Mus musculus: one gene and its partners. The protein of the gene in region 1 purifies or fractionates together with the protein of each later gene. This does not show direct contact. Links are inferred from orthologs where the notes say so. Each region holds a gene or a part of one and is shown in the gene's direction. Other genes may lie near its edges. The genes, in order: Smarca1, Cecr2, Bptf and Pole3.

Evidence for each region.
Region 2: the proteins of Smarca1 (region 1) and Cecr2 purify together in Homo sapiens (affinity purification with mass spectrometry; 3 studies listed by BioGRID and IntAct, with this or other methods). This does not show direct contact. The link is inferred for Mus musculus from reciprocal best matches to the Homo sapiens genes SMARCA1 and CECR2.
Region 3: the proteins of Smarca1 (region 1) and Bptf purify together in Homo sapiens (affinity purification with mass spectrometry; 4 studies listed by BioGRID and IntAct, with this or other methods). This does not show direct contact. The link is inferred for Mus musculus from reciprocal best matches to the Homo sapiens genes SMARCA1 and BPTF.
Region 4: the proteins of Smarca1 (region 1) and Pole3 purify together in Homo sapiens (affinity purification with mass spectrometry; 3 studies listed by BioGRID and IntAct, with this or other methods). This does not show direct contact. The link is inferred for Mus musculus from reciprocal best matches to the Homo sapiens genes SMARCA1 and POLE3.

Annotation. Positions count from the first base shown.
Region 1 is NC_000086.7:47,852,974-47,860,719, reverse strand, and holds part of Smarca1 (probable global transcription activator SNF2L1), read left to right. Parts: intron 1-72; coding exon 73-299; intron 300-2,342; coding exon 2,343-2,464; intron 2,465-6,001; coding exon 6,002-6,154; intron 6,155-7,746.
Region 2 is NC_000072.6:120,751,905-120,759,650, forward strand, and holds part of Cecr2 (cat eye syndrome critical region protein 2 homolog), read left to right. Parts: intron 1-735; coding exon 736-865; intron 866-2,620; coding exon 2,621-2,658; intron 2,659-2,744; coding exon 2,745-2,836; intron 2,837-3,612; coding exon 3,613-3,739; intron 3,740-4,644; coding exon 4,645-5,033; intron 5,034-5,661; coding exon 5,662-5,787; intron 5,788-5,910; coding exon 5,911-6,727; intron 6,728-7,746. UniProt on the Homo sapiens protein: Regulatory subunit of the ATP-dependent CERF-1 and CERF-5 ISWI chromatin remodeling complexes, which form ordered nucleosome arrays on chromatin and facilitate access to DNA during DNA-templated processes such as DNA replication, transcription, and repair.
Region 3 is NC_000077.6:107,126,599-107,134,909, reverse strand, and holds the start of Bptf (nucleosome-remodeling factor subunit BPTF), read left to right. Parts: upstream 1-2,762; 5' UTR 2,763-2,987; coding exon 2,988-3,636; intron 3,637-8,311. UniProt on the Homo sapiens protein: Regulatory subunit of the ATP-dependent NURF-1 and NURF-5 ISWI chromatin remodeling complexes, which form ordered nucleosome arrays on chromatin and facilitate access to DNA during DNA-templated processes such as DNA replication, transcription, and repair.
Region 4 is NC_000070.6:62,521,855-62,529,225, reverse strand, and holds Pole3 (DNA polymerase epsilon subunit 3), read left to right. Parts: upstream 1-4,211; 5' UTR 4,212-4,229; coding exon 4,230-4,295; intron 4,296-4,390; coding exon 4,391-4,476; intron 4,477-4,789; coding exon 4,790-4,908; intron 4,909-5,115; coding exon 5,116-5,282; 3' UTR 5,283-5,428; downstream 5,429-7,371. Other genes in the region: 4933430I17Rik (uncharacterized protein C9orf43 homolog), read right to left, coding at 3,348-3,408. UniProt on the Homo sapiens protein: Accessory component of the DNA polymerase epsilon complex. Participates in DNA repair and in chromosomal DNA replication.

The DNA of each region.
Region 1 (7,746 bases):
CATGTTGCTAGTGGAACCTTTCTTTATGGCATTTCGTTCTTAAAAGTGATTAATTATAGTTTAACATTTTAGGTATACAAAAATTCTGATGAAAGATATTGATGTCTTAAACTCTTCTGGCAAGATGGACAAGATGCGACTCTTGAATATTCTGATGCAGCTCCGAAAGTGTTGTAATCATCCTTATCTGTTTGATGGAGCAGAGCCTGGTCCACCTTATACGACAGATGAGCACATTGTCGGCAATAGTGGTAAAATGGTCGCTCTGGATAAGCTATTGGCGAGAATTAAAGAACAGGGTGAGTGAGGAATTTTTTTCTTAGTTAGCATGGAATAAACTCATAATGATTTGTATGTGAATAAAATGTCTTAGATTCATTCAACCACTAGGTTAGAAGACATTGTTGAGTACTTACTTACTCTTTGCCAGGAATTCTCCTCTAGTCTAGGAATGCAAAGATTACAATGATGGCTTTGCTTTGGAGAAGCTCACAGTGTAGTGAGGAAGAAGAGTTGCAGTTCGATGTGCTAAGTGCACTTCATCATGCTGTTGAGAAAATGGGAATTGGGATCGTCTTTACAGTGATGATATTGGAAGTGAAGACTGGAGTTTGAAAGCAGGAGTGAGCCATCAAAAATGCAACAGGTGTGCTTGTCTAGGGCAGTGAAACAGGGACCACAGCGCAGGCATTTATGGGATGTAATGTAGTGTGGCATTTCGTGAATTTGGTAAGGATAGATACTGCCATATTATGCACCATTATGCACCAAATTATGGAAGGTCTTTAAAACCATACTTCAAAGACTTTTATTTTGGATATAGAGGAGTTAAAGAAGACTTGATGATAGGAAGTAACATTATTAGATGTCAGGAGGATAACGCTGGAAGCACTCTGTGGGAATGAGAGAGTAAAACCAGAAGCCAAGGTGAAGATAGTTGCAGTAATAATCCAGAGAGAGATCATATGGACCATTGTAGATCCTTGGGACAAAGAAAAGGCAGAATATAAGTCATGGTAGTATATGTATAAGATTTAAAAAAAACATTATTTATTTGTTTATATCCCAAACGCTGCTCCTCTTCCAGGTCCCTCCCTCACCAAGTCCCCTCCCCTGATCCCTCCTTCCCTTCTCTGAGCATTAGGTTCCCCCCTGGGTATCCTCTCACCCTGGTACATCACGTCTCTGCCAGATTAGGTGCATCCTTTCCCACTGAAGCTAGACAGGGCAGCCATGAAGACTGAGCTACCTGTCTGCTACCTATGTGCCAGGGGGCCTCATTTCCAGCCAGTGTATGTTCTACCAACAGAGTTCAGATTCTGAGAGCTCCCGGGAGTTCAGGTTTGTTGTCTTAGTTGGTCTTCCTGTGGAGTTTCCCTCTACTTCAGGGGCTTCAATCCTTCCCCCAACTCTTCCATAGGTGTCCACAACCTCTGTCTAATGTTTGGCTGAGGGTCTCTATATCTGTTTCAGTCAGACGCTGGGTAGAGCCCCTCAGAGGACAGTTATGCTAGGGTTCTGTCTGCAAGCATAACAGAGTATCACTAAAAATGTCAGGGATTGCCCATGGGATGGGTTTTGAGTTGGGCTGTATATTAGTTGGCCCCAGGGGCCCAGCCTGACTACAGGAAATGGCCTCTACAGGTTTCACATCCGTAATGTTAGTCTTCTTGGCAATGACTCCTGGGAAACTCCCCCATCCCTGGTCTCTGGGCCTTCCTAGCGATTCTCCATTTTCCCTCACCCCAGTCAGCTGTAGATTTCCATTAATTCTCCTGGGCCTCTCCCCATAACTAATCTTGACCCCCCATTTCCCAACCTCTCCACTCTCCCACCCAGTTCCCTTCCTCCCTTTCCTCCCATGACCATTTTGTTTCTCTGAAGTGTGATTTAAGTATCCTCACTTGGGTCTTCCTTCTTGTTTAGCTTCTTTGGGTCTGTGGGAGTGTACTGTGGGAATCCTGCACTTTATGGTTAATGTCCACTTATAAGTGTATACATTCCATGCATTTCTTTTTGGGTCTGGGTTATATCACTCAGGATAACATTTTCTAGTTCCATCTATTTGCCTGCAAGATTCATGATGTCTGCAAGATTTTTTTTAAGACCTAAAGAAAACCTTTTAGTTTAACAAATGATAATTTTGCGTAACATTCTTTGTTTGTGTTGGCATGTTTATATGCCATATTATTTAGATTGTTTATGATGCTTTATTTTCTTTTTGGCTTTCAAGGTACCTGAAATCATTTGCCTATCTTAACTGCACACAGATAATGTATTTCATTATATAATTTTCATACTTTACACATGTTGTGTAACTATTTTCTGGTGAACTATTTTAGGATCAAGAGTTCTCATCTTTAGCCAGATGACTCGACTGTTAGACATTTTGGAGGATTATTGTATGTGGCGTGGTTATGAGTATTCTCGACTGGATGGACAAACCCCACATGAAGAAAGAGAGGTGAGGACAGGACAAGAAAGTGAAGCAAGACGTCAAAAATTAGCACTCAGTTGCACAATGTTTCTTTACTGTTGTTTTCAATTTTGGTCTGCTCTACTGCTCAGTGATACTGACTTCCTCACTGCCACCATGATCTTTCTTCTATCATCACTCTTCCATACTTAGTTTCCATTCCACTGATTTTTCCCCCCAAATCATCCTAGACTCTTCAGAGATATGCTTTTCTAAGAATATTATCTCTATTGGCCACTACCCCAGTTGATTACTGTCTCTCAAACTGACACCCCGACTTCTGATTATATGTTTCTTTTCTTTCTGAATTTGTGTACCATGGTAGACCCTGGCCATTTGTGGAGTTTAGTAGTGGTCATTTGGATGATTTATGATTAACCAACTCTAGTATTGAAGGAACAGTCTTGACTGTGGAGGGCTTTTGTAAAAATGAAGTATGACAAAATAAGTGTAGATACTTATGAGTTTGGGATTTTAGGTGGTAAAATGTTGGTTTGTAAGTATGAATAAGTACACCTACCTAGCACCCAGTGTGTTCTTCATATTTTGAAATTCTTGTAAGTCTTTAGGGTATCTATCACAAAAGTCATGATTGAAAGGCACTTTAAACCCATTAAATCACTTTGTGGATGGCTTTGCTATTTCTTTCTCTCTTTTCTATGATCCTTTAGCTCTCTTTCTCTCTCTCTCTCTCTCTCTCTCTCTCTCTCTCTCTCTCTCTCTCTCTCTCTCTCTCTCTCTCTCTCTCCTCACATTATAGGCAAATGAAGAAGATTTTACAGTATAGTGGAAGTACCCAGAACTTGGTTTGAAGACCTGATTTTTAGCACTAACACCACCACTTTCTAGTGGCCATTTAATTCTATAAACCTCAGTATCTTTGATAGTATCACAAAGATAAAATTGGTACTAATACTTCTTCCTGATGACAGTGTGAGGGTTGGTGGCTATAATAGGTACAAACAGTTTATATCCATGCAGTGCACTGAGTTCTGTGTGACAGGACATTGCACACAGGTCTTTCTGTTTGTTTCAGGACACGTTCTCAGGCCACAGGAATCTCAGCTTATGTTCCTCTACTTCCACAGTTCCTTCCATTGACAAGACTTTCTGTCTCTTATGAACACCCTTATTGAAGCCTGGCTATCGCATTCTTCAGCTTTGCCAACAGCACACAGACTTTTATGTTAAGGCTTTTCTGCTACCTATTAAAGGAAACAGTTATGGTAACTTTTGTACATAACCGAATGCTTAAAAACTTCAATTATTTCCCACCTTATAGCTAGAAGTTCTCTGAGACAGTTCTTTCTTGAAATTTTTGTTGACTTAGTACTGAGAACCCATTTCTTCATAAAGCATAACACTTATTACTGTTCAAGATGAATGCCCTTTTTTGCTATTATGAAAAGGATACCAAGGCAATATTTAGTAGGTATTATCTGGCCTCAAAATGCCTGTTGTCACTCCTGACCTATTTCCCTATTCATTACCTAGCTATATGGAAATTCTTGTGTTTTTAATTTTTTTTAATTTTTAAATTTTTCTGTTGTTTCTTTTATTAATTAATTATTTATTTTATTTCATTTATTTATATCCCAAATGTTGCCCCACCCCCCCTCACAGAGTTCTTGAATCCTCCTCTTTGTGCATGTGTGTTTTTCTTTTTTAATCTTCAAGTATTATTCTTCGTTCAAAGATTTTGAATTACAGGCATCACATTTGAGTACAGAGATGTCAGACCCATTCTTTCCTCTGGGAGATGTCTTGTTTATATTGCTATTCATATAATCATTTCATGTCTTTTTTACATTTGATTCTTTGCTCTGTGTATAAGCAGTGGAGATTTTTCCTCTCCTCTATAGTTCAGACATTTAACCTTTCCCTATGGGAAACTAACTCAGCTAGTTCTGCCTCTGACCATCATTGGACTTAATTGGTTTCACTTTTATAGGGAAAGGACTTAACAGTTAGCAAGAAGCTAATATAGGCTAGGCACCCAGTGGTTCTCAATGATTCTCCCAATAATCTGAGTCAAGGTACTGATAAACTTGTGCCACATTAAATTGTGTCTCAGAGGAGTCAAAGGCTTGTGTTTCAGATGTGGATATATGGCTGAGTTGTACTTCACTTCCAGGTTTTTGCAATTTTCTTTACACCAGGGTGCCTGTCATCAAACCTTTTTGTGTTCTGTACTCCACGGTATCATGTTCTACTGACTATAGTAATGCTAGGCACCAAGTCTCACTAGAACTTAGACCATCTTTTTCTATTGCATTAAAAAATAACTGAGCATTTTGTGACTATATATTTAATATACGAGTACTGAGAGATTTACAAAATCAATTATCTCTGGAAAATCTTTATGAGAAATAATATGTAACAAGTTGGTACCAAACTTTATATATGTGCTATATATAAAGTTCAGAATATTAGTACTTTTAGTCAGGATTATATTGCTTTTTATCACTATAGTTTTAGGAAAATATTTAGCCTTAATGATGTACTGTACATAATATGTCCCGTTATTGCTGATGATTTAGGTTGCTTCCAATTTTTCACTGTTATAAATAATAGTACAGTGAAAGTCATTATACATATATCTTGTGCACATCTCTGATATTTTTCCTTAGGATAAGTTCCTGGAAGTGGAATTATTGGGTCAAAGGGTATGAACAGTATTAAGGCTCTCAGTGCATGTTGTCAAGTTGCTTTCTAGCAAGGTTGTTTCAATGTACACTCTCAGAAGCAATGTCCCTCTGCTCCCTCATCAGCTTTGAGCATTAATATTTTGATTTAGCTTTAACATGTCATTATATTGTCTGTTTGCATCTGTTTGATAACTAGTGAGAATTTAACATTATTCTTGTAGCAGTTTTTGTATATTTGTATTTATTCTGTGAGTAGAAATTCTTCTCCTTTCAGGTTCATTGTTTTATTGGAGACAGCATTTTCCTAATTAATTTCTACATGAACTTTGTATAGAGGATATTGACAATGTATTAATTTTAAAGATTCATTACTAAATATTCCTGGACATGTCATTCCGATTTTCTCAATTATTTTTCCTTTGTCATTACACTGATACAGATTATCTTACTCTCATTTGTATTTCTCAACTTTTCTGTCTTGTTTATCAGTCCTCAGAATGATATTGACATTCTGATATGTTTCCCAAATATACATTTCAGCTTTTAATTAATTGGAATAGTTTTACTATTATTTTCAAAGGATGCAAACGAATGATTTGCTTAATTAAATTTATTTGTATGATTGTTTTATGTTTGTCTCTATTGGTTAACCCTTGCAAATTTCATGTATAAAGACATATTTTCTCCAGCAACTTACACAGTAAGTATAGATAAACAGTGTGGAAGATGGAAGAATATTATAAACTGTTAGGTTATGAAGAATTTTATATACAAGTATAAAAGTATTTTCTGTGAGCATGCTAACTTTTCTCTTTCTTAAAATTTGGAATTTAATTCAATTTTTCTCTTTTTATATTTCTTTATTAATTAAAAAAAGGAAGCGATAGATGCCTTCAATGCTCCAAATAGCAGCAAATTCATCTTTATGCTGAGTACTAGGGCTGGAGGACTCGGAATTAACTTGGCAAGTGCTGATGTGGTCATCCTATATGATTCAGACTGGAATCCACAGGTTGATTTACAAGCTATGGTTAGTAACATTTAATGCTATCAGGAAATCATTGAACCACAGAATGTTATTGTTTACATAGAACAAAGATAATGCGTTATTACAGTATAACAGTTTTGGAGTGATTTTTGTAAAGGTTAGATAGAGTTAAAGTTGCTGAATTAATTGTGAAAACAAATAAAAAAATAAACGCTAACAGATATGCTTCAAATAAAAGTGTAAAACTTACCTATCTATATCTAATCTATACCTATATCTATATGTATATCTAATTTGTATATAACCTATATCTATATCAGCTATATCTATATCTAATTTATATCTAATCTATATGTATGTCAACTTTTTCCTATCTTGAGTATTGAGGAGGCTTTCTGAGTTTATTTTAATGAGAAGGATAAACAATCTCATTATTTTGCTTAACAAGTGCCTATTAAAATCTTTAGGTCAGGCATGATGGCTTTTAGTCCTAGCACTCAGAAACAGAGGCAGGGGGCTCTCTGTGAGTTTGAGGTCTACTAATGAGTTCCAAGTCAGCTGGGGCTGTATGGCTGGATCCTGTTTAAAAAACAAACAAACAAACAAACAAACAAACTTTAGTACTGAAATTCGAAAACGTTAGATTTTAACGTCTGTAATAAAATAATTGCGATGAATAGGTAAAAATGGAAGAAGAGAAAGTTTGCTGTCTGTGTGTGAATGTGCATGTTGCGTACATTTGTGTGGGCGTGTATTCCTGAGAGAGCACATGTGGAAGCCCGAGATTGACATGAGGATGTGTTCCCCAACTGCGTCTCTCTCTTATGCTTGAGACAGATTCTTTTCCTGAAGCTGGAGTTTGCCACTTTGGCTTGACAGGTTGGTGAGTGCCCCCAGCCCTGCCCCAACTCCCAGCCTCAGTGCTGGAGTTGTAAATGAAGGGCACCATGCCTAGCTTTGATGTGGGTGTTAGAGACCTCAACTTAGGTCCTAATACTTGAACAGTAAGCACTTTACCCACAGAACCATCGAGTTGTGTGTGTATGTGTGTGTGTGTGTGTGTGTGTGTGTGTGTGTGTGTATTTAAAAGAATGTTTTATTTTACCTTTTATCACAATCTGGTCACTCAGAGATTACTGGTTGGAGTTTAAAGTTTTACATATTTGTACAGTATTGAATCCTCTCTGAAAGATTATTGCCACTTGGTTATTGGATTGGATTGTTTTCCCATTTACTATAGGGACTGTTTTCAAGCCTGTTTCTTTGATTCTCCCCACCTCCTCTCTGTTCTCATTTGCTCTGTCAGTTTTTGCATTTTAAACACACTCTCCACATGCTTATATTTTGCCAGAAGTTGCCACCTTTGCTAATTGTAAACCATTGGAGCAATTCTAGAATCTTAAAATTATGAAGATCTCATTAATATTTATGAGCTTTTACTATGTATCTCAGAATTGCCTTGGTAAGCAGAAAGAACTGCTTGATGGTGAGATAAAGCAGACTTTGGTAGCATAGCAGCCCTTGCTAACTTCTTTGTTCCTTTAGAAACTCCTTGCTCATCTGGAGATGTTTGCATTTAGTGAATTAACGTTGCCCAGTAACTCAGTGCAGAAGCCTTAGCTGCTGTTTGTCCT
Region 2 (7,746 bases), on another chromosome or scaffold:
ATTGGGGGGGAACAGGGTAAATAAGATTAATAATACTTAAATTACAAGACACACACCCATGTGTGTGGTCTGATGTGGTCTCATTATGTGGCTCAGGTTGACTTTAATTTGCAGCAGTCTTCCTGCCTCAGCCTCTCAAGCATTCTGAGTATACGTGTGACCACACACCCAGCTGAAGCAGTTTTTTGAAGTGACTTTTTTTTTTTAAATGTCCAGTGAGTGATGTTTTGCCTATATGCATGACTGTGTAAGGATATCAGGTCCCCATTTAACTGGAGTTACAGACAGTGGTGAGCACCAGGTGGGTACTGGGAATCAAACCCAGGTCGTCTAGAAGAGCAGACAGTGCTCTTAACCACTGAGCCATCCTTCCAGTCCCCAAAGTGACATTGTTTTTATACACCCATTCTATATCAGGCAGGTTTATGATAATGAGCAAGGCTATTCCTTTTTTGAAGGATCAGATAGGAGAATCAAGAGTTCATGTCTTGGGTACATAATAAGGTTGAGGCTAACCTGGGGTACACGAAGTCCTGTCTCCCTCCCACCACCCTCTAAAAAGCAAAAGAGTTTCATGCCTAAAGTGACATTTAACTGGGATCATCACAGATTCTGTCTGCTGTGGTACTTGAGTGAAATGAATGCAGTTGCTTGGCGCAGAACTGATGGCTCACAGGTGTCCCAGGAGCAGTGGCACAGGTGCTTACCTGGATTATGTTCGTGTATTCATTATAGATCGAGCTAAGAGGAGAAAGCTCAGGGAAGAACGAGCATGGCTATTGGCTCAAGGCAAGGAGCTACCCCCAGAACTTTCCCATTTGGACCTGAATTCTCCTATGAGGGAAGGGAAGAAGACCAAGGACCTGTGAGTATTTAGTAATAGCAGCTGGCCACCTTAAGCACTTCTCTCTGCAAGCACTTGCCGCAGAGCCCAATGATCTGACTTGTATCCCTGGAACCTACATGTTGTAGGGAGAGGACTGACTGTTGCAAATTGTCCTCTGACACATGGACCATGATGGCTCAGGAGTACATACACACCCACGCACGCAATAAAAAAGCATATTTTGGCCAGGCAGTGGTGGCGCAAGCCTTTAATCCCAGCACTTGGGAGGCAGAGGCAGGCGGATTTGAGTTCAAGGCCAGCTTGGTCTATAGAGTGAGTTCTAGGACAGCCAGGGCTACACAGAGAAACCCTGTCTCAAAAAAAACAAAAAGAAGCATATTTTATGAAAAGCATCTCTCAAACCAGGCAGTGGACATGCGGATATCTGTGTGTTTGAGGTCAGCTCTGGTTTATAGAGCTAGTTCTAGGACAGCCAGAACTATGCAGAGAAACGCTGTCTTGAAAAATCAACTTTCAAGTCACTGGAGTTTGATTCCCAGCACTCACGTGGCAGCTCACAAGTGCCTTTAGCTCTAGGGGAATCTGACACATATACATGGTCAAAAATAAAATTCTTGGTTTTAAAAAGTTAGATGTCTCAGACTGGAGAGATGGTTCAGTGGTTAAGAGCACTGACTGCTCTTCCAGAGGTCCTGAGTGTAGTTTCTAGCAACCACATGGTGGCTCACAACCATCTGTAATGGGATCTGACGCCCTCTTCTGGTGTGTCTCAAGGCAGCAACCGTGTACTCATTAATGCACCTTTAAAAAAAATTACATCTCTCATTTAATCCTTGTAACAAAAAGGCCTGTTTGGAAGGCAGTGGCTTTTACATTTTAATGGTAAGAAAGCATAGCAAGTGTTAGTGGTAGGCCTTAAAACCAGATCTGACTCAAATGCATTGTTTACATACATACTCTTTAAGTGAATCACTACCCTCCTTTCCAGTCTTAGAATCTACTGGCACAGGAAAAGATGGGTTCTTATTACCCCAGCATTTCAATGCCACCAGAATTTACTATTAATGGGAACTTGTTCCTTTGGCATATATAGAATATTTTATATTTGCTTGTTTGGCAGTGCTAGGTATTGAATCCCCAATACTTTTAAGTATTCGTGTTGGCAGTGCTCTAGCACTAAGCTACAGCTTAGACCTACGTTTTAAGACGAGAGCTTGCCATTTTGCTCTCTCAGCTTCCTCAGTGCTGGCATTACAAAAGCACCATCATGATCAGGAAGTATCTTACTTTTTAAAATAGTGGCATTGGCTGTTGTACATTAATACCAGCTAGTCATGAAGGTATGCCAGAATAGAACCATGGCAGGGGAAGACAAGGGTCAAAAAGGAAAGTGCATGCCCTTAATCTCACCACTGGATAAACAAAGGCAACAAACTCTGAGCTCCAGGACAACTATATAACAATACCCTATTTTCATAAAAATAAACTGATATGGTTAATATTCTTATAATATGTTTGTAGTTACAAAGTCATAATAAAGTTCTAGATCATTTAAGCCAGTCTTTCATTGGAGATGGAATTCGTTGTAGGGAATATGATAGTCCTTTTTGCAACGTTCACCATCTACCATCCTTATGTTTCCAGTGAGTTGGGATCAGTATTTGGACTTGCTTAAGGAAAGTAAAAAGCACTGTTCAATCTGTATTTGATCCAAGAAAGCTAAGGAAAAATGGCAGTCACAGTTAAACTAATGTTGTGTTTTGTGGTTCACAGCTTTGAATTGGATGACGATTTCACAGCCATGTATAAAGGTTAGTTGCCATTCTCAGCTTTGGTGTTCTTGATGAACATCTTTCCACAGGAATGTGTCAGTTATATTCTCCTTTTTGGTTTCCAGTTCTAGATGTGGTGAAGGCTCACAAGGATTCCTGGCCCTTCTTGGAACCTGTGGATGAATCGTATGCCCCCAACTATTACCAGATTATTAAGGTATCTTTTAAATTGTACTTAAGCATCTGTATTTTGCTTGGATTCTATATTAGTCATTTTTCCATCATACTGAACAAATACTGATGGTAACGGGCAGCTCTGTGGTGGTAGGAGCTTGTTTTCGTCTTGGTGGCCAACCAGAACTTAGGGCTGTAAATGGCTTGCAGTATAACTTGTAAAACGTCCCCCAGTAATCCACTCCTCCAACTAGGCCCAACCTCCTAATGTTCTGCAGCCTCATAAAGCCACACTACTACCTCGGAGGACAAGTTATTCAAACTCAGGGTTCTAGAACTGTTTTTTTCTCTTGCTTTTCTGTCCTCCTTAATATCAGGGAGACAGACAGACAGATAGACAGACACACATACAAGTGTATGTGTTGTTAGGGTTTGTTTTGTGACAGGACCCCGTGTTTTCTTGGCTGATCTTGTACTCACTACATAGACCAGACTGTCCTCAAACTCAGAAAGATTTGCCTGCTTCTGTCTCCTAAGCAGTGGGATTAAAAGTGTGTGCCAATATACTCCTAGCTATACCAGTCTCTTGAAAATCTAAAATGTCACGATTGCTCTTCATCATAAAAAGTGATTGGAGGCGGCATGCAGTTAATTGGTTTTATCTTGTTTTGAGACAAGGCTTCATTTACTATTACCAAGACTAGCCTGGAAGTCACTATGTAGCACAGGCTAGCTTCAAACTTGTGTCAGTCCTCCTGAGTTCCAGTGCTGGGATTAAATCCACTGTGCCACTTACAGTATTTTATGTTCCATTTTTAGATCCCCATGGATATTTCAAGCATGGAGAAGAAATTAAACGGAGGTTTATATTGTAACAAGGAGGAATTTGTAAATGACATGAAGACCATGTTCAGAAATTGCCGAAAATACAATGGTGACAGTAGTGGTAGGTGGATGAGGCCTTTTTGCTGACTGCACATGCATGTGTCTGTGTTTCAGACTTTACTCTCTTCTCTTTTGAGATGGAGTTGCTATAGTCCAAGCTTACCTTGGATTTTTAAAACAAGTGCACTGTGCCTTATACCCACTGAGATCAGAACAGGCTGTTGGATCCTTTATTTAGATCTTGAGCTATGAATGATTGTCAGCCACCACATGGGTGCTGGGAACTAAGCCCAGGTCCTTTGTAAGACCAACAGTTAATCTCAGATGTGCCACCATTGCTGGTTTCCTATTTTGCCTTAGGACGGCCGACAGAATGTATACCAACAGTCATGGGATTTGTGGTTCTAGTTTCTTACACAGTGTCCCAGGAGTTCTCATTCGGCCTTGTGGACAGAGAAGTCTGGCCTGTGTTGTACTGGGCCTTTTTACCACAGACAAGATTGAATCCACCTTGAATTCCTGCCATTGTGTTTTACATAGGAGATGGAATCTAATGCTTCCTGGATGCTCAGCAAGCACTGCTGCTGAGCAACATCCCTGGGCTTCCTCTCAACTTACCATGCAGCAAAACTTTCTAATGATCCTGAGACTTTTGTCTTGATTCATGCATCAACACAAAAATGCTACAGCCTATAAAACAAAGCAAATTCAATTATAGTACATACTAGTTTGAGTAACTTAGTCTAAAGAATTAAAATTTCACTAATTTGAGATAACATACTATAGTTTATGTCACAGCCATAAAGCCTTGAGCAGAATACTTATAGAAACCAGATCTTCATATTGTATCTGTAGCTTTGCAGTGTAATATTTTCCAGAAGTAGCTTTCCTTATTATTTTCAATAATTGTCTTTGTGTATAGTAAAATATGTACCCTGGTGGTCAGTCTTCTTGTCTTCCTTCTAGAGTATACCAAGATGTCTGACAATTTAGAGCGGTGTTTCCATCGGGCCATGACAAAACATTTTCCTGGTGAAGATGGAGACACAGATGAAGAATTTTGGATCAAAGAGGATGAAAAACGGGAAAAAAGAAGAAGTCGGTCTGGTAGAAGTAGTGGAAGCCATGTTTGGACGCGCTCCAGAGACACAGAAGGGTCGAGCAGGAAACAGCCACCAGTGGAGAATGGGGGAAAATCATTGCCCCCGGCACGCCGAGCTGCCTCCTCAGGGGACGATCAGAGTAGGAGTTCCATACAACTCCCTCCAGAGGTGGGCACATCACATGGCCAAGGCTTTTCTCGCCCCCTGCACTGTGGTAGGGTGCCTAGCCACGCACCCCCTTTAAACCAGATGGTAAGGAAAAAAACTCACCTATATATTGTTTAAACGTTAAAATTTCATTATAAAGAGCTGGAGATGTAGCACATATGAAAACGTGTGTGTTTGATCCCCAGCACAGCATAAAAGTGAGTGTGGTGGTTGTACACCTGTGATGTTTGAACTTAAGAGATGGAGACAGGCCAGATGGTGATACAGGCCTTTAATCCCAGCACTCGGGAAGCAGAGGCAGGACTGTTAATACAGAGAAGCCCTGTCTTGAAAAATGGGTGTGTGTGTGTGTGTGTTTGTGTGACACACACACAGACAGGCAGATGAGCCAGAAGTAGTTCAGCTACACAACAAATTTGAGGCCCACCTGGCTTCATGAGACCCTAGTCAAACATGTATAAATAAATAATTGTGGGCTGTACTTGTATCCAGAATGCCTAAAATTTCTCTAATTGTGGTTCGGAAGGTGATTGTTTTTGTTTTTCAAAACAAAATGATAAGTGTTTTTTTTTTTTTCTTGGAGAGAGAAGCTGCTTTGAGATTGGAGGCAGTTCCTTGCCATAGGGCACATTAATAGCAATCCTTAGGGAATGACTTGTTTTCCTTGATTGTTCTTCCCTCACACCCTTTCTGCTTTACTCACTGCCTTCAGAGGCCAGCAGCACCAGGAACATTTGGCTCTCTTCAAGGATCAGATCCCACCAACTTACATGGCTCCTCTAGAATCCCAGAGGCTCCCCCAGGAGAGCCCTTGCAACACCCACCCTTTGCTATACAGGTAAGCAGTCTGCAGAGAGACAGCTGGGACGGTTCTGCAGCAATAATTAAGAGGTAGCATCTTTCAAGGTTTGTTTTGTTCTGTGAATTCACATTCTTCTCTTCTTACCATTTCTGTTATCAGGCTCCAGTTGGAATTAGTAACCATCGGGGATCCCTGCTCAGTGCTCCAGACCTTTCCAATATGGGGTCACATGTCCCATCCTTACAGCTTGGGCAGATGAATTGTCCCAGTCAAGATGGAAACATGTATCCACCAGCTCCATTCCAGGCAGGATTTATTCCTTCTAGGCATGGTGGGACTCCAGCCCGACCCCCAGACTTTCCTGAAAGCTCTGAAATTCCTCCCGGTCATATTTATCATTCATACAAGTATCTAAATCGAGCACACCCTGCTGTTTGGAATGGGAACCATGGTACTACAAACCCTGGACGTTTGGGGCCAGATGAGAAGCCCCACCTGGGGCCAGGACCCTCTCACCACCCTCATACCCTTGGTCATATGATGGATGGCCGAGTGATGAGACAACCTATCCCACCAAACCAGTGGACTAAACAGTCAAGCTTTCTACCTCATGGAGTTCCTTCCTCGGGGTATATGCAGCCACCCTGTAAGTCTGCTGGACATCGTTTGCAGCCACCTCCAACTCCAGCACCAAGTCCTCGATTCAGAGGGCCCTCCCAGGCCCTCCGGGGGGCACAAGGAGGGGAATCCATGATGGACAGCCCTGAAATGATTGCCATGCAGCAGCTCTCCTCCCGAGTCTGTCCCCCAGGTGTGCCTTACCACCCCCGCCAGCCCACTCCTCCCCAGTTACCTGGTCCCTTTCCGCAGGTAGCTCATTCAGCTTCAGTCTGTGTGTCGGCGCCCAAGCCTGCATTGGACAACCCTGGGAGTACACAGGAGATGACTGAAACACACGAGCCCGAGGAAGACCCAGGTAATTTACAGTGCCTTCTTATTTTTTCCCCTGACTTTTGTGTGTCATTTCATGAGTAATTTTTCATACAGAATATGAAGATAACATGCAAAGTGATGTCAAGCCTCCTATAAGCTATTCGAGTTCGGGATAACTGAAGTCCTTTTAGGTATAGAGGTATCAAAAACATAATTCATGAATTTACATGATTGACATACAGCCAAAAGGCACTTACATGTGAGATGCACTTTTAGGTCTTATTTGTTGTTGTTTCTTTTGTTTTGTTTGGTTGATTTTTAAGGCAGAATCTCTGACTCTGGCTGTCCTAGAACTTTATAAAGAGCAGACTAGCTTCAAACTCAGGAGTCTCCATACTTCTACCTCTGAGGTGTGCCCACCAGGCCCATGAAACTTTTTAAATGAAAACTCATTTAATTAGAACCTGCCTTTCGGGCTGGTGAGATGGCTCAGTGGGTAAGAGCACCCGACTGCTCTTCCGAAGGTCCAGAGTTCAAATCCCAGCAACCACATGGTGGCTCACAACCATCCGTAACAAGATCTGACTCCCTCTTCTGGTGTGTCTGAAGACAGCTACAGTGTATTTACATATAATAAATAAATAAATCTTTTAAAAAAAAAAAGAACCTGCCTTTGTACAAGCTATTACCAATATCTTTGGGGTTTAATTGGGGGTGGGGTGCTTGTGGGGAGTCAGAGTACACCCTGTAGAGTGAGTCTTAGGGACTACATTCAGATTCTCAGGCTTGGCAGCAAGTGCCTTTACCAGAAGAGCCATCTTGATTGCCCTAATCTGGGCTCTTTCTGTATATCAAACTCATTCATGGTCCTTCAAACCTGCACCTCCCAGGTGCTGGGATCATCAGCCATTACCACCATGCTCATTCTATGTGTGTGTCTCTCTCTGTGTTTTATTTTGTTTTGAGTTCAAGGATAATTTTACAGTCTAAAAGAAAAACCACAGGACAACCTAGCTTTAAAACCTAAGCTGCTGCCCAAAAGAGGAGAATGGAGGAGAGAAG
Region 3 (8,311 bases), on another chromosome or scaffold:
AAGAATAGCAATTTCAGGACAGCTTGTACTGCACAGTGACACTGCTTCAAACCAAACCAAACCAAACCAAACAAAGAGCTATACCTGGTGTCATATGCCTGTGAAGTAGAGAGAGAAGGGTCAGGAGTTCAAAGACAGCTTCAGCTACATAGCCAATTTGAGGCCAGCATAATACCCTATCTCAAAACAAGTTAACATTTAAAGATATATTTGTTATCTTTTTTTTTTTTTTTTTTTAAAAGATTTATTTATTTATTATATGTAAGTACATTGTAGCTGTCTTCAGCCACTCCAGAAGAGGGAGTCAGATCTCGTTAAGGATGGTTGTGAGCCACCATGTGGTTGCTGGGATTTGAACTCTGGACCTTCGGAAGAGCAGTCGGGTGCTCTTACCCACTGAGCCATCTCACCAGCCCCTATATTTGTTATCTTTAAAAAATCTTTGACAGCCGGGCGTGGTGGCGCACACCTTTAATCCCAGCACTCGGGAGGCAGAGGCAGGCGGATTTCTGAGTTCGAGGCCAGCCTGGTCTACAAAGTGAGCTCCAGGACAGCCAGGGCTATACAGAGAAACCCTGTCTCAAAAAAACCAAAAAAAAAAAAAAAACTTTGACATTTATTTATTTGTGTTTTTTTAAAAAGATTTATTTATTATTATATTTAAGTACACTGTAGCTGTCTTCAGATGCACCAGAAGAGGGCGTCAGATCTCATTACGGATGGTTGTGAGCCACCATGTGGTTGCTGGGATTTGAACTCAGGACCTTCAGAAGAGCAGTCGGTGCTCTTAACCACTGAGCCATCTCTCCAGCCCTTATTTGTGTTTTTGTGTGGGTTTGTAGACTTTGAAGAGAAATTTTTGGGAGCTGGATCTCTCCTCTCTTTATTTTTGAGACAGTATCTCTGGGTCGCCCTTTGCCTCCTGAGTGCTGGGATTAAAGGCTTGCTGTTATACCCACAAGGTTGTCTTCTTGTGGGTTGCAGGGATTGAACAGAGGCCAAAAGGTGTGGTGGCGAGGATCTTTACCCATGAGGCATCCTGTTTGCCTGTCTGTTAAATAACTTTACTCTGTCTACACACACACACACACACACACACACACACACACACACACACGATATATATATATATATAGATAGATAGATAGATAGATAGAGGCATAATGGCACATGTGTCACCCCACAGCCCAGAGTTTGATGCCAGGCTAGGTCACTCTATCTAAAAACAAATGTACAAACACGTTTCAGATAAAACCTTTATAGTCTCTTGAAAAATATAGAAGATTTGAAACCTGCATGGAGGGACCTGTCTGTAATCCCAGAGTTTGTGAGGCTGAAGCAGGAGGTTCACAAGTTTGACAGCAGCTTGGAGTTCATAGTGAGAGTCTGGCAAAACCCACCACTGCAGGGTGTGGTGCCATATACCTTTGCTCCCAGCAGAGGCTGGTGGATCTCTACTAGGAGCTGGAGGGCAGCCTGGTCTACATAGTGATTTCCAGGCTATCCAGGGCCTTACAGCGAGACCTTGCCCTAATAAAACAAAATAAAACACCCACTATCACCAAGGAATATCAGAAGATCTGCTTATTTGGGCCTGCATTGCTATAGCTGCAGCCTTTGTTTACCCAAGAACTCTTGTGGCTTACTTTCTTTCCTTTGGTGTCTTATGAGGTCCCTGTGGGTAAGTTTACCACTCTCAGAGATCAACCAAAGTGAATACATAATAACTTAGTTGGCAATTAGTAATTTTCACTTCATTTCTATTCACCGAACTATATTGTAATAAGTCAGTTAGTTAGTGGGCTGAATCCTATTAACGATTTTTCTTCAAATTACTTTTTCTGTTCTCACATCTATTAATAATCACTCATATAGGTTCCTTAAACCTTTCTTTTCTTTCCAGAGTCCACCCCGAGGACCCTGTGTTGAGCCACCTCAATTTAGCAACATTTGGTGCATGTGCCTGCGATTTCACTTTAGTGACTAGCACCCTAGGTCAAACCAAGACTGGTAATTTGTCAGGTAGACATTATTTCCAGGTAACACAAACACATAACTTTGTGAAGCCAATTCTAGACAGGACGCCATCCTTCCTATCCTTAAGTTCTGGCTGAGGTGTGGAAGTTCGTAGCTGGGAAGAGAGAAAGGTGCCTGGAGGCCGCTAGGAACCACGCTCTGGAATTTAACCCCGGGCTCTGAGGGTGGGAACTCAGGAAAGTCAGTGAAACCACGCTGGGGGTGTGGCTCCCAGCGTGCATTCCTGGAACAACTTCAGGACCCTCTAGATCCAAGCCTTTGGGAGCTCTCTATTGGGACTGACTTAGCTCCAGCTCCTGTACCTGCGTGGGTGGCTTTGCGTAGTGACTGCCCCCAGTCTGTAAGTCGTGCCTCTACGCGAGACGCCCCTCTCCCCTTTTTTTGCATTAGTTTCCCAAAAGGACCGGCGACTTGGGAGGAAAATTCCCTGTTTTCCGGCCCCGGTTTGGGAGACACGCATTGAGGTCTCCCTAAGACCTCAGCTGAGGGGGAGGTGGTCTCCCAGGAGGAGACCCCAGCCTGGGGGGACACCCCACGCTACCCATCTCGCTCCTGCGCCGCCGCCGTGCAGCCGCGCAGGGGCGCTCCGGGGCCTCCCCGCCCCCGCCGCGCCGCTCCCGCGCTCCCCCTAGCGGCCGCCGCGCCGCCTCGCTCTGTCCCAGGCTCGTCGGGCGGCGCAGCTCACGTGACCGCGCTCCGGGCCTGCGGCCGCTGTCGGTTCCCCCAGTCACCGAGCGAGAGGGAAGAAACAAGATGGCGGCTGCAGGCGATCCGGAGCGGGGCCCCGGCAATTCGGACTGAGCCTTCTCCCTCCACCCCGCCGCTGCCGGGCCGCGCCCCTCCCGCCCGGACCCCGGCGCCCTCCCCTCCCCCTCGGCCCCGGCGCCCCCCGCGCCCCTCCCCCACCCCTTCCGCTCCCCCCCCACCCCCCCGCAAGCCGCGGCTCCGACATGAGGGGCCGGCGGGGCAGGCCGCCCAAGCAGCCCGCGGCTCCTGCTGCGGAGCGCTGCGCCCCGGCCCCGCCGCCGCCGCCGCCGCCGCCACCACCGCCGCCGCCACCGCCGCCGCCGCCGCCGCCCGCCTCCGGACCCATAGGGGGGCTGCGCTCGCGGCACCGCGGCAGCAGTCGGGGCAGGTGGGCCGCCGCCCAGGCTGAGGTGGCGCCCAAGACCCGGTTGAGCTCGCCCAGGGGGGGCGGCCGCAGGAAACAGCCGCCACCGCCACCGCCGGCCTCCGGCAGCAGCGCCAGCGGCCCGGGCCGGGGGGGCCGAGGAGGCGGGGGCGGCAGGACGGGGGGCGGGGGCGGCCACCTGGCCCGGACCACCCCGGCCCGCCGCGCCGTCAACAAAGTGGTGTACGATGACCACGAGAGTGACGACGACGACGAGGAGGAGGACATGGTCTCGGAGGAGGACGAGGAGGAGGAGGAGGATGGCGACGCCGAGGAGACCCAGGATTCCGAGGACGAGGAGGAAGATGACATGGAAGAAGACGACGATGACTCCGATTATCCGGAGGAGATGGAAGACGACGACGACGACGCTAGTTACTGCACGGAAAGCAGCTTCAGGAGCCATAGTACATACAGCAGCACTCCAGGTAACCACCCAGGCCGCCGGGAGACTCCTTCCCCACCTCCTCCCTCCCCCTGGCTTGCTCCCTCTCCAGTGCAGTGCATCCTGCTTCCTAGCTCCCCCCCCCCTTCCCGGCCTGTCCCCCACGCGGAGGCCACGGCGCGTCTAGTGACAAAAAAAAAAAAAAAAAAAGAAAAAAAAGACAAAAACAAAACTAGATTTGCAAGAGGAAAGAGGCGCATTGTTCAAAATGGAGATTGCATTGTTGCAGTTTGCAGGCCACAGACTCGTTCGCTCTTCTCCCCCCTCCCTCTTTATCCCCTTCAAAATTTGTGCCAAGTGCGGTGGCTCCACCAGGCAGGATTGAAACTTTGGCACACAAGTATCCATTGAGTTCGTCTTTCTCCCCTTGTTTTGGTACGAGTATTTTATTTATTTATTTTGCGATGAAAGAAGCCTCCTGCTTTGCAAACCGTTGCATGTCTAATACGTTTTGTTTTAGATTTAAAAGAAAAATTATCTGTTCCTTAAAAGAGAATTTCGATGGTGGTACCACACCTAGACGTTCTCCCTTTCCTACACCCTAGTTAGCTAGTTTGGTAACTGTTTTGGAGGAAGGATTGTTGTTCGGTGAGCTTGGGAGCTTCCTGGGGTCCTGAGCGCTTGTTTGTGTTCTTCGAGTGAGTACTCATGGTCGCGTGCAACAGTTGCTGGTAAATGCTGATTAAAGAGCAAAGCAGAAAACTAGACCAAACCAAGTTTGGCAATCCTTCCGATTTAAAAGTACTCTGGTTAAGTTCCAAATAAAAGTATAACACCACGGGGCCGTGTGTCCTAACCAGATTGATTTTGACTTTGCGTGGGAGATGGCAGTTTCGTGGCACCTGTTGCCGAAGATGTGTGGTTGATCATCTAGGCGCAATTGCCAAAGATGAACTTTTTGAAGTCACGGTATAGAAGTGTCAGATTGGACCCGACAGGACTTTTTCTTGTTATTCTGTTTCTGAGGAAAAAGCCCTTCCTGAATCAGCGGTGGGCTTCATCAGTAGTGGTGAATTCTCTGATGTTTTCTCGAATAATTTCTTGAGGTGGGTCCTGAGATGTGGGTCAAGTAAAAGGCACATGTGCAATTGCTCCTTTGTATTAAATGAATAGTTATGGGGGGGGGGGACCCTTAACTTGTAGCAACAGACTTTCAGGCTTTTTCTTAAGTTTTTATTCACCTGATTGATAAAATTAAGATCTAATTGTAAGGACATTTACAAAGTAAGTGAGGACATATGAGGGTTTTTCCTATGAGAGCCTGTCTACCGTTTTTCAGAGAAGATGAGGGTACTAGGAGTGGTTAAATTTAAGTGTTTTCATTTATAACTGCTTAAGATCCTAACTGCTGCAAGTATGAGAATTAAGCCAGATTAGATTGGTTAACACCAAGTGAAAAAAGCTAGTTTCCTTTGCCTGTCTTGAAGAAGGTTGCCTATTTTATGGGACCTGGAGGGAGGGGCTATCTTTTAGCAAGTTTAATTTCTTGCCAACTTAGTTTAGTGTGTCTTTTATAGTACTAGGTTTTACTTTAAGAAATTACGAGTTGGGCATCTGCATCAAGAGCTCAAAATTGAGCTGAAGACAGCAGTAGTGGAGGAAGTTAGTTTTTGAGTTAGGACTGAGGCATTTTGGCAGGGTAGTTCAGCTAACTTTTTAACTCCTTGAAGACCTGGCCAACAGTTCTGATGAACTGAAGACCATGAAAATGCTGAATTAAACTGCAATTTGTGGTTAGGGATTCTTTTTTTTTTTTTTTTTAATTTATTTATTTACATTGTATGTAAGTACACTGTAGCTGTCTTCAGACACTCCAGAAGTGGGCGTCAGATTTCGTTACGGATGGTTGTGAGCCACCATGTGGTTGCTGGGATTTGAACTGGGGACCTTCGGAAGAGCAGTTGGCTGGCACTCTTAACCACTGAGCCATCTCGTCAGCCCTTTCTTTTTCTTTAAGATTTATTTATTTTATGTATATGAGTACACTGTGGCTGTACAGATGGTTGTGAGCCATCATGTGGTTGCTGGGAGTTGAACTCAGGACAGGACCTCTGCTTGTTCCAGCCCTGCTTGCTCCGGCCCAAAGTTTTATTTATTATTATATGTAAGTACACTCACTGTAGCTGTCTTCAGACACACGAGAAGGGGGCGTCAGATCTCATTACAGATGGTTGTGAGCCACCATGTAGTTGCGGGGATATGAACTCAGACCTTCAGAAGAGCAGTCAGTGCTTTTAACGGCTGAGCCATCTCTCCAGTCCAGCCATTATTCTTCTTGAATGACACAGGCTACCTCTGTGTACGCTTATCCTGTGATTATGGGAAGTAATAACTTTAGGAGTAACTTTTGCTTTTAAACATTCTGTAACTCCTAACAGACATTCTAACATAAAAAGACTGATTGGATAACTTGCTGTTAGTAGGTGGGAAATTTGATAATTCTCTAGTAGGTGCCATAATTTAAATGTTCAGGTTTTTTTTTTTTGTTTTGTGTTTTTTTTTTTTTTTTTTTTTTTTTTGAGACAGGGTTTCTCTGTAGCCCTGGCTGTCCTGGAACTCACTTTGTAGACCAGGCTGGCCTCGAACTCAGAAATCCGCCTGCCTCTGCCTCCCGAGTGCTGGGACTAAAGGCGTGCGCCACCACGCCCAGTTTAAATGTTCAGTTTTTAAGAAACTCAAGTTGGTGTAACTAGGTTTGGATAAACACTTCAACTCTTCCTAACAGCAGACAGTATACTTTTTAAAAAATAACTTTTAAAAAGATGTATTTTCATTGTTTTTTTTTTTAATTATGAGTATGTCTATGTGAGTGAGAGTGGTAGAGGTGTCTGCAGGTAGCAGAGTGAGCTGGCGTTTCAGATGGTCTGAGTGCCATGCGATGTGGTGCAGGGATCTCACACACACTCAGGCCCTCTGGAAGGGCAGCAAGCGCTCCTGTTTTAAACTGTTCTTTCATGTGGGCTGCCAGGCCTTTTCCTTTCTTTATTGGCTTTATTAACTTGAGTGTTTGGTCTTTTGAAACAAATTACTTCTTCAGATGATGGTAAAAGGATGTTACATTTTGTGTTTTTGATTTTAAAGTCTGTCCACTTGTTTTTAGTGAGTATCCATTCTGGGAGTGATTTGCTGAAACCAGGATATTGTGCCATTAGTTTTATAGTTGGTCCTTCTGGAAGGAGACTTTAGGTCAATGTGTATATTTTTGTTTTTTTTGTTTTTTTCTTGGTTTTTTGAGACAGGGTTTCTCTGTGTAGCCCTGGCTGTCCAGGAACTCATTTTGTAGACCAGGCTGGCCTCGAACTTAGAAATCTGCCTGCCTCACAAGTGCTGGGATTAAAGGTGTGCACCACCACTGCCCAGCCAATGTGTATATTTGTAAAGTGTAGATTAAGATACACTTAAGCTGCTCCAGAACAGTCAGGGCTACACAGAGAAACCTTGTCTCAAAAAGCCCAAAGGAAAAAGAAAGATACACTTTCCAGCAGGCCGGGCTGGGTGTGGTACTCCACACCTTTAGTCCTAGAATTCTGGAGGCAGAGGCAGGAGGATCTTATGAGTTTGAATATGGTCTGTAGTCTGGTCTATATAACAAGCTCCGGTACAGCCAGGACCACATAGAGAGACCCTGTCTTAAGAGAAAAGAAAAGAAAAGGAAAGAAAAGAAAGGCAGGTCCCAAGAAGGAGAGTTGGGAGATAGAGCTGTATGCTATACAATCAAGGCTAAAGAGGAATGTCCTTTAGGTAATGTAGACTAATTTGATTACAAGTTTTTGTAATTTAGAACATTGGCTTGAGTATTACTGGCAGATTAAATCCCTAGTATAAGAGCTGTGTATGTAGTTCACCTGGTACAGTGGTTGCTTAGCATGCATGAAGCCCTGGCTTCGATTTCAGCCCATAAGGTGGGTTTTGTAGGGCAGGCTTCTAATCCCAGCACTGTGGATGTGGAGACAGGAGGAACGAAGTTCACAGTCATCTTTAGCTACATAGTGACATACACAGCTTGAGTTACTGTTGGACCGTGTGCCTTAACTATCTAATTAGTATACAAGTAGATACTATTAAATAAGATTCTTAAAAAATGGGTTTCTAGACCGGCATGGTGGTGCATGCTTTTAATCCCAGCACTTGGGAGGCAGAGGCAGGCAGATTTCTGAGTTTGAGGCCAGCCTGGTCTACAGAGTGAGTTCCAGGACAGCTAGGGCTACACAGAGAAACCCTGTCTCGAAAAACCAAAAAAAAAAAAAAAAAAAAAAAAAAAAAAAAACCAAACAAACAAAAAACCAAAAAACAAACTTTCTAATATCACAAGTATCACTGAGGTCTTTTTTGAGTACTCTGAGATAATGTAGCTGTTTGCTGTGGACTGGTGTAGTGTTACTGTTGCTTTGATGAAACGCAAGACCAAAAGTAACTTGTGTGGCTCACAGATCCTAAGTCACAGTTCATTGAGGGAAGCCAAGGCAGGAACACAAACCTGACTGGAACCTGGAGGCAGGAGCTGATGCAGAGGCCAAGGATGATGAGGCTTGCTCTCCCACAGCTTGCTCGACTTGCTTTCTTACAGCACCCAGGAGCACCAGGCCAGGGATGGCACCGCTCACAGTGGGTTACCCCTACCCCCAGATCACTAATTAAGAAAACGTTCTACCGCTTTG
Region 4 (7,371 bases), on another chromosome or scaffold:
CTGGCTGCTCTCTCAGGGAACCTGGGTTTGATTCCCAGCACACATGCGGTGGTTCACACCTTCTGTAATGTCAGTTCCAAGGGACTGGATACCCTCTTCTGACCTCCACGGGCACTGTCTGTGTGTGGTACATATATGCAGGCCAAACATAAATTTTATGTGATACGCATAAAGTAAAATTTAAAAATTTAATTGTAGGAACACACACACACACACACACACACACACACACACACACACACACACACACACACCAACAATTAAAGAAAACAAGAGGGAAATAGCAAGACACCAGGGATCTAAAGGAAGAAATGAGGGGCTTCTGATTAGGAAGGGAAGGGAAATAAATACAGGAGGAGGGAGGATAAAATAACAGGAGAAATAGTCACAAGGAATCCTTCTTTCACTATCTACCTAAAATACCTACAATACACTTAAGTCAGTATATAAATGTCCATATACAGTTTAAGTGAAATTCCCCATCTGAGTGCTCCCTGTAAGAGTCATAGACCGGCTAACAAAAACCACCACACCAGGTATGAGAAGCTCTCTCTTTAGTTGTTGGTCAGGGTTGTCCAAGAGACTCCTAAAACATTATAGACTATTACTATTGCCCTTGGTTACCCGCAAAGGAGGAAAGTAAGTCCCTATTACTGAAGACACAATACACTTCAGACAAGGGGTTCAGATTAGCCTGAGAGCCTCCTCCCTGGGGACTATCTTTCATGGTACCAGAAGGTGCTACTCAGGTTTCCAAAGGAAAGAAGCAACCAACAGTACTACCCAGCTATGGCCCTACAAACCACATCAATGACCAGCATGGTGCCATAACTCTAAGGTTGCAATAGAGGCATGCATACCTTGGTGGGAACCAACAACTCTCTAATAGATCTTATGACCCTGCTCAACATGTGAGAAATGTACCTGGTCCTGGAAGCCTTGTCATCTACTCAGGGCTAGTGACGTCACGGATCTTAAAGGGGAACCTACAACCATCCATTTACTAAACCGGGACAGTCCCTAACTACACTCTAAACATTTGTCCTTCTACCTACAGATAAGTGCAGTCCTCACCACTCATCAAGGAACCTTCTCTTTGCATAGGACAGAGATCATTACTGAAAACAAAGTCCAATCAGAATGCAGTCACAAAGCCCAGTCCCTACGGATACATTGGCAACACAGCTCCTGCAGCTAAGGCACAGGGACTACTGTAGAAGAAGGGGCAGGAAGATGAGAAGAGCCAGAGAAGCAAGGGGTTTGCAGTGAGACTGTAAATATCAGAAGCTACACTCATGAAGTTCCACCAACATAACTGCCTAAACACGCGCCGAATAAGGGCACGTGAACAACAACATGCTGACAGAAAAGAAAAGCCTCAACCCTAGATAAAGAACCACAGGCAACTAATGAATGCCAAGATCTGAAAAATAGTCTCACCCAGGGAAGACCATACAAGTTGATTATCCAATACTAAATGGTCAGCCCTTAAAACATACATACAAATAACATTATTCTGACTGGACAGATTGTACCTCTGTGTGTGTGTGTGTGTGTGTGTGTGTGTGTGTGTGTAACAACAAAGAAAAAGAGGCAATGAATTTGAAAAAGGGAGGGGTACTTGAGAGGGTGTGGAGGAAGAAAAAGGAAGGGGAAATGATGTCATTATATTATGATCTCAAAAATGTTTTAATTATTTTTGTAAAAATTATAGAAACAGGCTGGAGAGATGACTCAGTGGTTAAGGGTACTGACTGCTCTTTCAGAGGTCTTGAGTTCAGTTCCCAGCAACCACATGATGGCTCACAACCATCTGTAATGGAATCCGATGCTCCTTTCTGGTGTGTCTGAAGACAGCTGCAATGCACTCACATACATAAAACAAATCTTTTAAAAATATATTTTAAAATTGTAGACAAATCATATAAGATATAAACTTCTGTGTATGAAGTTATAACAAATACCCAGTAAATAATATCAGGCTGGGGAGTTGCCTCAGTAGCTAAAACACTTGGAGGGCCAAGCATGAGGCCCTGAGTTCAAATGTCCAGAACTCACATAAAACCAGGCACAGCAGACATCTGTAATCCCATTGCCCCTACTTAAAACAAAGCAGAGAATCCTCTGAAGCTGATGGGCTGCCCTGTCATCAGATACTGTGGACAGCCAAAAAGAGACCCTGTCTTAAGGTAGAAGGCAGTGCCCAATTTCTGACCTCCACACCAGCACCATGGCAAGGGATGTGAATGTCCATACTCACAGACATGCAAGTACATACATTATACACACAGGGAGAGAAATAAATAAAGTTATACTAAACTATTATCAATCCCTCTTTTAAAGATGTTATGCAGTCACTACAACTATCTTATTCCTTTTAACATATAATTCCATTGTATTCATTTCTTTGGTGGGCATGGGTGCCATGGGGCACATGAGAAGGTCAGCAGGAAGGCCATCCTGAAATGAGCCCAGAGACTACACAGTCTTCAACCCAAAAGTGTCTTCATCCACTGAGTCATCTCACCCTGTCCCCTTTCTAACTTTTAAGGACATTGTCGGTTTCTTCTTCTATTCAACACATTTACTGACTGTCAAATGAGTGGACCTGTTTGGGGCGTAGAGAGTAGCAATAAACAATCTCTCTGTTCTAAACAGCTTCTAATTTAAATTAGAGATAGGAATCTAGTGGCCTGGGCTGCACCTGGCCTACTTAGCTTGGCAAGCACTTTGAGCCAATGTTTTAAAAACTGAAATGGTCCAGAATGTTAGCTTTCTGGCTTCTCTCCTAGATCACAAGGCCTGACAGCACCAGTTCTAGATAAATAGTGGCTGGAACTAAGGCTTATGACATCTTTAATCCAGGCCTGTTCTAAGTGCAGAGTTCTTTCCACCAGAACAATCCCTCAGTATTGTTCATCATCCCAACCCTGTCGGGTTGTTTTTGTTTTGTTTCTCCAAATAGGGAAAAACTTCTTTGTAATGTCCCCATCAAAAATTTTAAAAAAAACACGTTTTGGAACAACATGTTTTAAAAAGAAAGAAAGAGAGAGAGAGAGAGAGAGAGAGAGATATGAAGGAAGGAAGGAAGGAAGGAAAGAAAAGAGAAAAGAAAAGAAAAGAAAAGAAAAGAAAAGAAAAGAAAAGAAAAGAAGGAAATAATCCAGCATTAGTTCTCAGTAGGAGTATTTTTTTCAGTACTTAATTATACAACTTAAAGCAACATTGAAAATGTAAAATCAAGTGATGATTTTTGATAAGAAAAATATACAATGAATCACTTAATGATTTAAAAAATACAACTTTAACTTGGGTTTTTGAATGAGAATACAATGCATTATTCTTACAATCAAATGATTCTTGCGCTTTCAGTACCGAACCAGACCAAATTGAGCTCCGAAGTCTCATCAGGCGTCTTTTGATATTGCCCTTGTTACTGCTGTCCTAGTAAAGTAATGGCATTTTTTTAAACGAAATTTTAGATTAACACTTATCCTTAATATAATTATCACAAAGTTGTGAAGGGCATAAGATTAAAGATGGACAATACTACTGCATCAATCGGTGCAATAGAATTGAATGAAAATCTACACTGAGTTCCGAGCCAAAAAAAAAAAAAAAAAAAAAGGGCGGTGGGCACTCAAGTGTCAGTCGTTCGCGATTTTGCGGGATCAAAGCAGATTCCAAAGAGTTACTACGTTCTGAGCCTCTGGAGACAATGCTGAGATTGCGAAAGCGCGTTAAAGCTTTGGCCCCGCCCACCTCTTATAGAGAGCCCCGCCCACTTGGCAGTCCGAGTCCCGCCTCTCCCGGCTCAGTCTACGCCTACCCTTTCCAAGCTAGGCACCAGGCCACACGGTTGCCTAGCAGCGGCGAACGGCACGCTGGGAGAATCGACGGAAACCTCAGAGAGTCAAACTTAGTGTGGTGCGAAAGCTCTCGCGATGTGTAGTAGAGAAACAAGCCTGGAGTGGAACGTCCGGGATGCCGTGGAAGCGGATGGAAATTTCAATGGTCCTAAACCATTGCGACATGGAAAGCTGGGCTACACTGGGGACTTGTGGCGGGGCTGATGTAGCAGAGAGGCTGTGGTGCGCAAAGCACTGTGGGACACTGGCAACGTGGGGTAGGACGGAAGCCTCCGAGGGTCATATTTTAGCGACGCGGGAAGTCCAGACACCAGAACTGTCTGGAGACCTGAGCAGGAGGGTCGGGCCCCAGCGGAGGCAATGGCGGAGAGGCCCGAGGACCTAAATCTGCCCAACGCCGTCATCACCAGGATCATCAAGGAGGCGGTGAGCCGCTCGGGCTGGCGAATGGGTCGAGGGCGGACGTGTGGGCAGAAGGTTAACAGAATCCGCGTGTGTGTTCATCTCCACTCTCCTCGCAGCTCCCGGACGGTGTCAACATCTCCAAGGAGGCCCGAAGCGCCATCTCCCGCGCCGCCAGTGTCTTCGTTTTGTATGCCACATCCTGGTGAGCTGAGCAGAGGCTGAAGGGAGGCGCAGCGGGATCCTGACCCCGCGTTCGTGGCCTGGAACCTACAGGCCCCAGTTCCCTGCCTCAGTAGAGAGCGACTTACGGCTCTCTTCCAGTTGTCACACATTCTGGAGCAGGTTAAACAAGACGGTTACCGTAGCCCTTTGTATGGGAAGGGGATGAACTGAGCCATGCCACACACACACACAATCCATTCATCTACGATAAATACGGCTTTCCCACCCCATTCCTGGGGGTCATGCCTCCACCCACTCTGACAGCTTCTGAAGGGCGTTGCTCTTTCTTCCAGTGCCAATAACTTCGCAATGAAAGGAAAGCGCAAGACTCTCAATGCCAGTGACGTGCTGTCAGCCATGGAAGAGATGGAATTCCAGCGATTCATAACACCATTGAAAGAAGCTCTAGAAGGTATCCACGTACTCTTCTGTCTCTTAAACCATATATAAAAAAAATGCTCATCAGTATCAGTGCCATTAAGTCCCGTTCAATAATACAGGACTGGTCATAACTCCCCTCTGTTTAGTTGGTACCATCTCGGGTATGTGATAGGGGCCTGGTTATTCCACCTGTGCCTCGGTTTGTCTAATTAAACCATAATATCCTGCTTCCTTACAGCGTACAGGCGGGAGCAGAAAGGCAAGAAGGAGGCTTCGGAGCAAAAGAAGAAGGACAAAGACAAAAAGGATTCCGAAGAGCAAGACAAAAGCAGAGAGGAGGAGGAGGAGGATGAAGAGAGACTGGACGAGGACGACCAGAACGAAGAGGAGGAAATAGACAACTGAATGGAGAGAGTAGGCAGACTGTGGCGTGGTGGAGGGGACCCTGAGATCCTGAGACATGTCTGTGTGAAGGCTTTCCCTGCAAGGCAGAGCCATCTTCGGCACTGGTGCCTGAGATCAAAATAAAAGCTGACCAGAAAGATCAAAAAGAACTCTTCCCAGGCTCAGAGCATCTGAGTTACAGAAACCGGTCATGCGTCATCAGTCTGCAGGTTAGGATGTTTTTGAATAAGCGATTCTGAGTGACTACATAGTTTGGTATTGCTTGTCTACTTAAAGTATATGGCTAGCTAGTTTCTGATCCCATTTCCCTGCCCCTCTGAATAAGTAATAACATCCATGTTGCCTGCAGTGTTCCAAGTCACAGAAGCACTAAAGGCTCAGGGGGAAACAATGGGGCTTTGAGCCTGGTCACCCAGTTTGACTGTACAGTAGTTGACCATAGGAACTCGTGCTTAGAATGGCTGCTCTCTAGGAGATGACTAAGGAGCTGTGAGCGAGCGAACGAGGAAATGTCTTCACCTGATGGTAGCATTACTTACTTGGTGTCTGGCTTTCTAGACTTACTTAGCTTTGTAGTCCTCTAGTGACTGTAGATGCTCAGTCGTCTGGGGTGGCTGCACTCATAGGACACACACTCTTTAATTCTGAGTGTTGATTAGAATCTGTCAAAAAAGGTGCCAATTCTTAAAAGCAGGGGCTTAATCTTGGAGGTAACTCAGTGCCTGCCATGGTAGGTCCTAGTGCTACCTCCTGGAAGGTATAAAATCCCAGATCCATCTCCCAGACTTATGGCTGCTGCTTTTCATTCCCTGGGCTCATAACAAGTTCCAGAGACTTTATTTCTTCCAGGCACAGCCTGTTCTGTCTCCATCTCTCTGGCTTCTGCTTCCCAGCCCGGCTTTCTCCTCCTCTTACTTATTTCATCTTCTAGTCTAGGGACTCTGATAACATATGTCATATTCCAAAGTGCAAGGTCCTCAGATTCCTTAGTCCTAATCTCCTGCCTTCTAAAGAGAGTTGAGAACACCTCTGAACCTTACGGTAAGAGGAATGGTGCTCAGGAATGTAGCACCACTGCTGTGGCTTCGAACGTGTCTGTTGGCCTTTCTTTTTCCCCATTGAGTGCTCCAAGCACTTTTTCCTGTCTTAGTTGTGCACTTGAGGCTGACAGGTGATGTAATATAGTTGGACACTGTTTACTAGTAATACAGGGAAGAGTTTGGTGAGAGTGACTGGAGACTGTTGAGAAGATTTTAATGCTTTCTACAAATAAAGAACATTCTTGTTTAAAATGATGACTCATACAATGTGCTTTTGCAAAGGACTCACCAAGACCCCCCTCTCTCTCCCCCTACCCTCACACATAGGCACACAGTCTTGTGTCTTGCATTACCAGCAGGTGAATGAGTATCACAAGTTAAGGGCACTGTTCTTAACCACAGCCAACATATCCTGAGATTCTCCTGGTTACTTTGCATATCTCACTAGCTCCCACTTCTGTTTGTTTGTTTGTTTTGGTTTTTTGAGACAGGGTTTCTCTCTGTAGCCCTGGCTGTCCTGGAACTCACTCTGTAGATCAGGCTGGCCTCGAATTCAGAAATTCACCTGCCTCTGCCTTCCAAATGCTGGGATTAAAGGTGTGTGCTACTACTGCCCGGCTAGCTCTCACTTATTAAGTTCTAAGTACTTTCAAGTATTCTCATCAAGCAACATTGCTATTGCCTCTACTAGCTCTTTTTTTTTTTTTTTTTTTTTTTTTTTGGTTTTTTCGAGGCAGGGTTTCTCTGTGTAGCCCTGGAACTCACTTTGTAGACCAGGCTGGCCTCGAACACAGAAATCCACCTGCCTCTGCCTCCCGAGTGCTGGAATTAAAGGCGTGCGCCACCACACCCGGCTATTAACCACAGCTCTATGTTCTCCAGTACACACAGTTCTCAAGTCATAAGTAAAATTTATAAATCAAAATTCACCAAGAACTGCAGTGGTCCTTTGGTTAATAATAGGCCTTTTCCTTCCCAGAAGAAACATTGTTTCTTAATTCCCAAGAGCACGGTGCTAGACCTACCCTTCAAGGCCCATTTGTAATCCT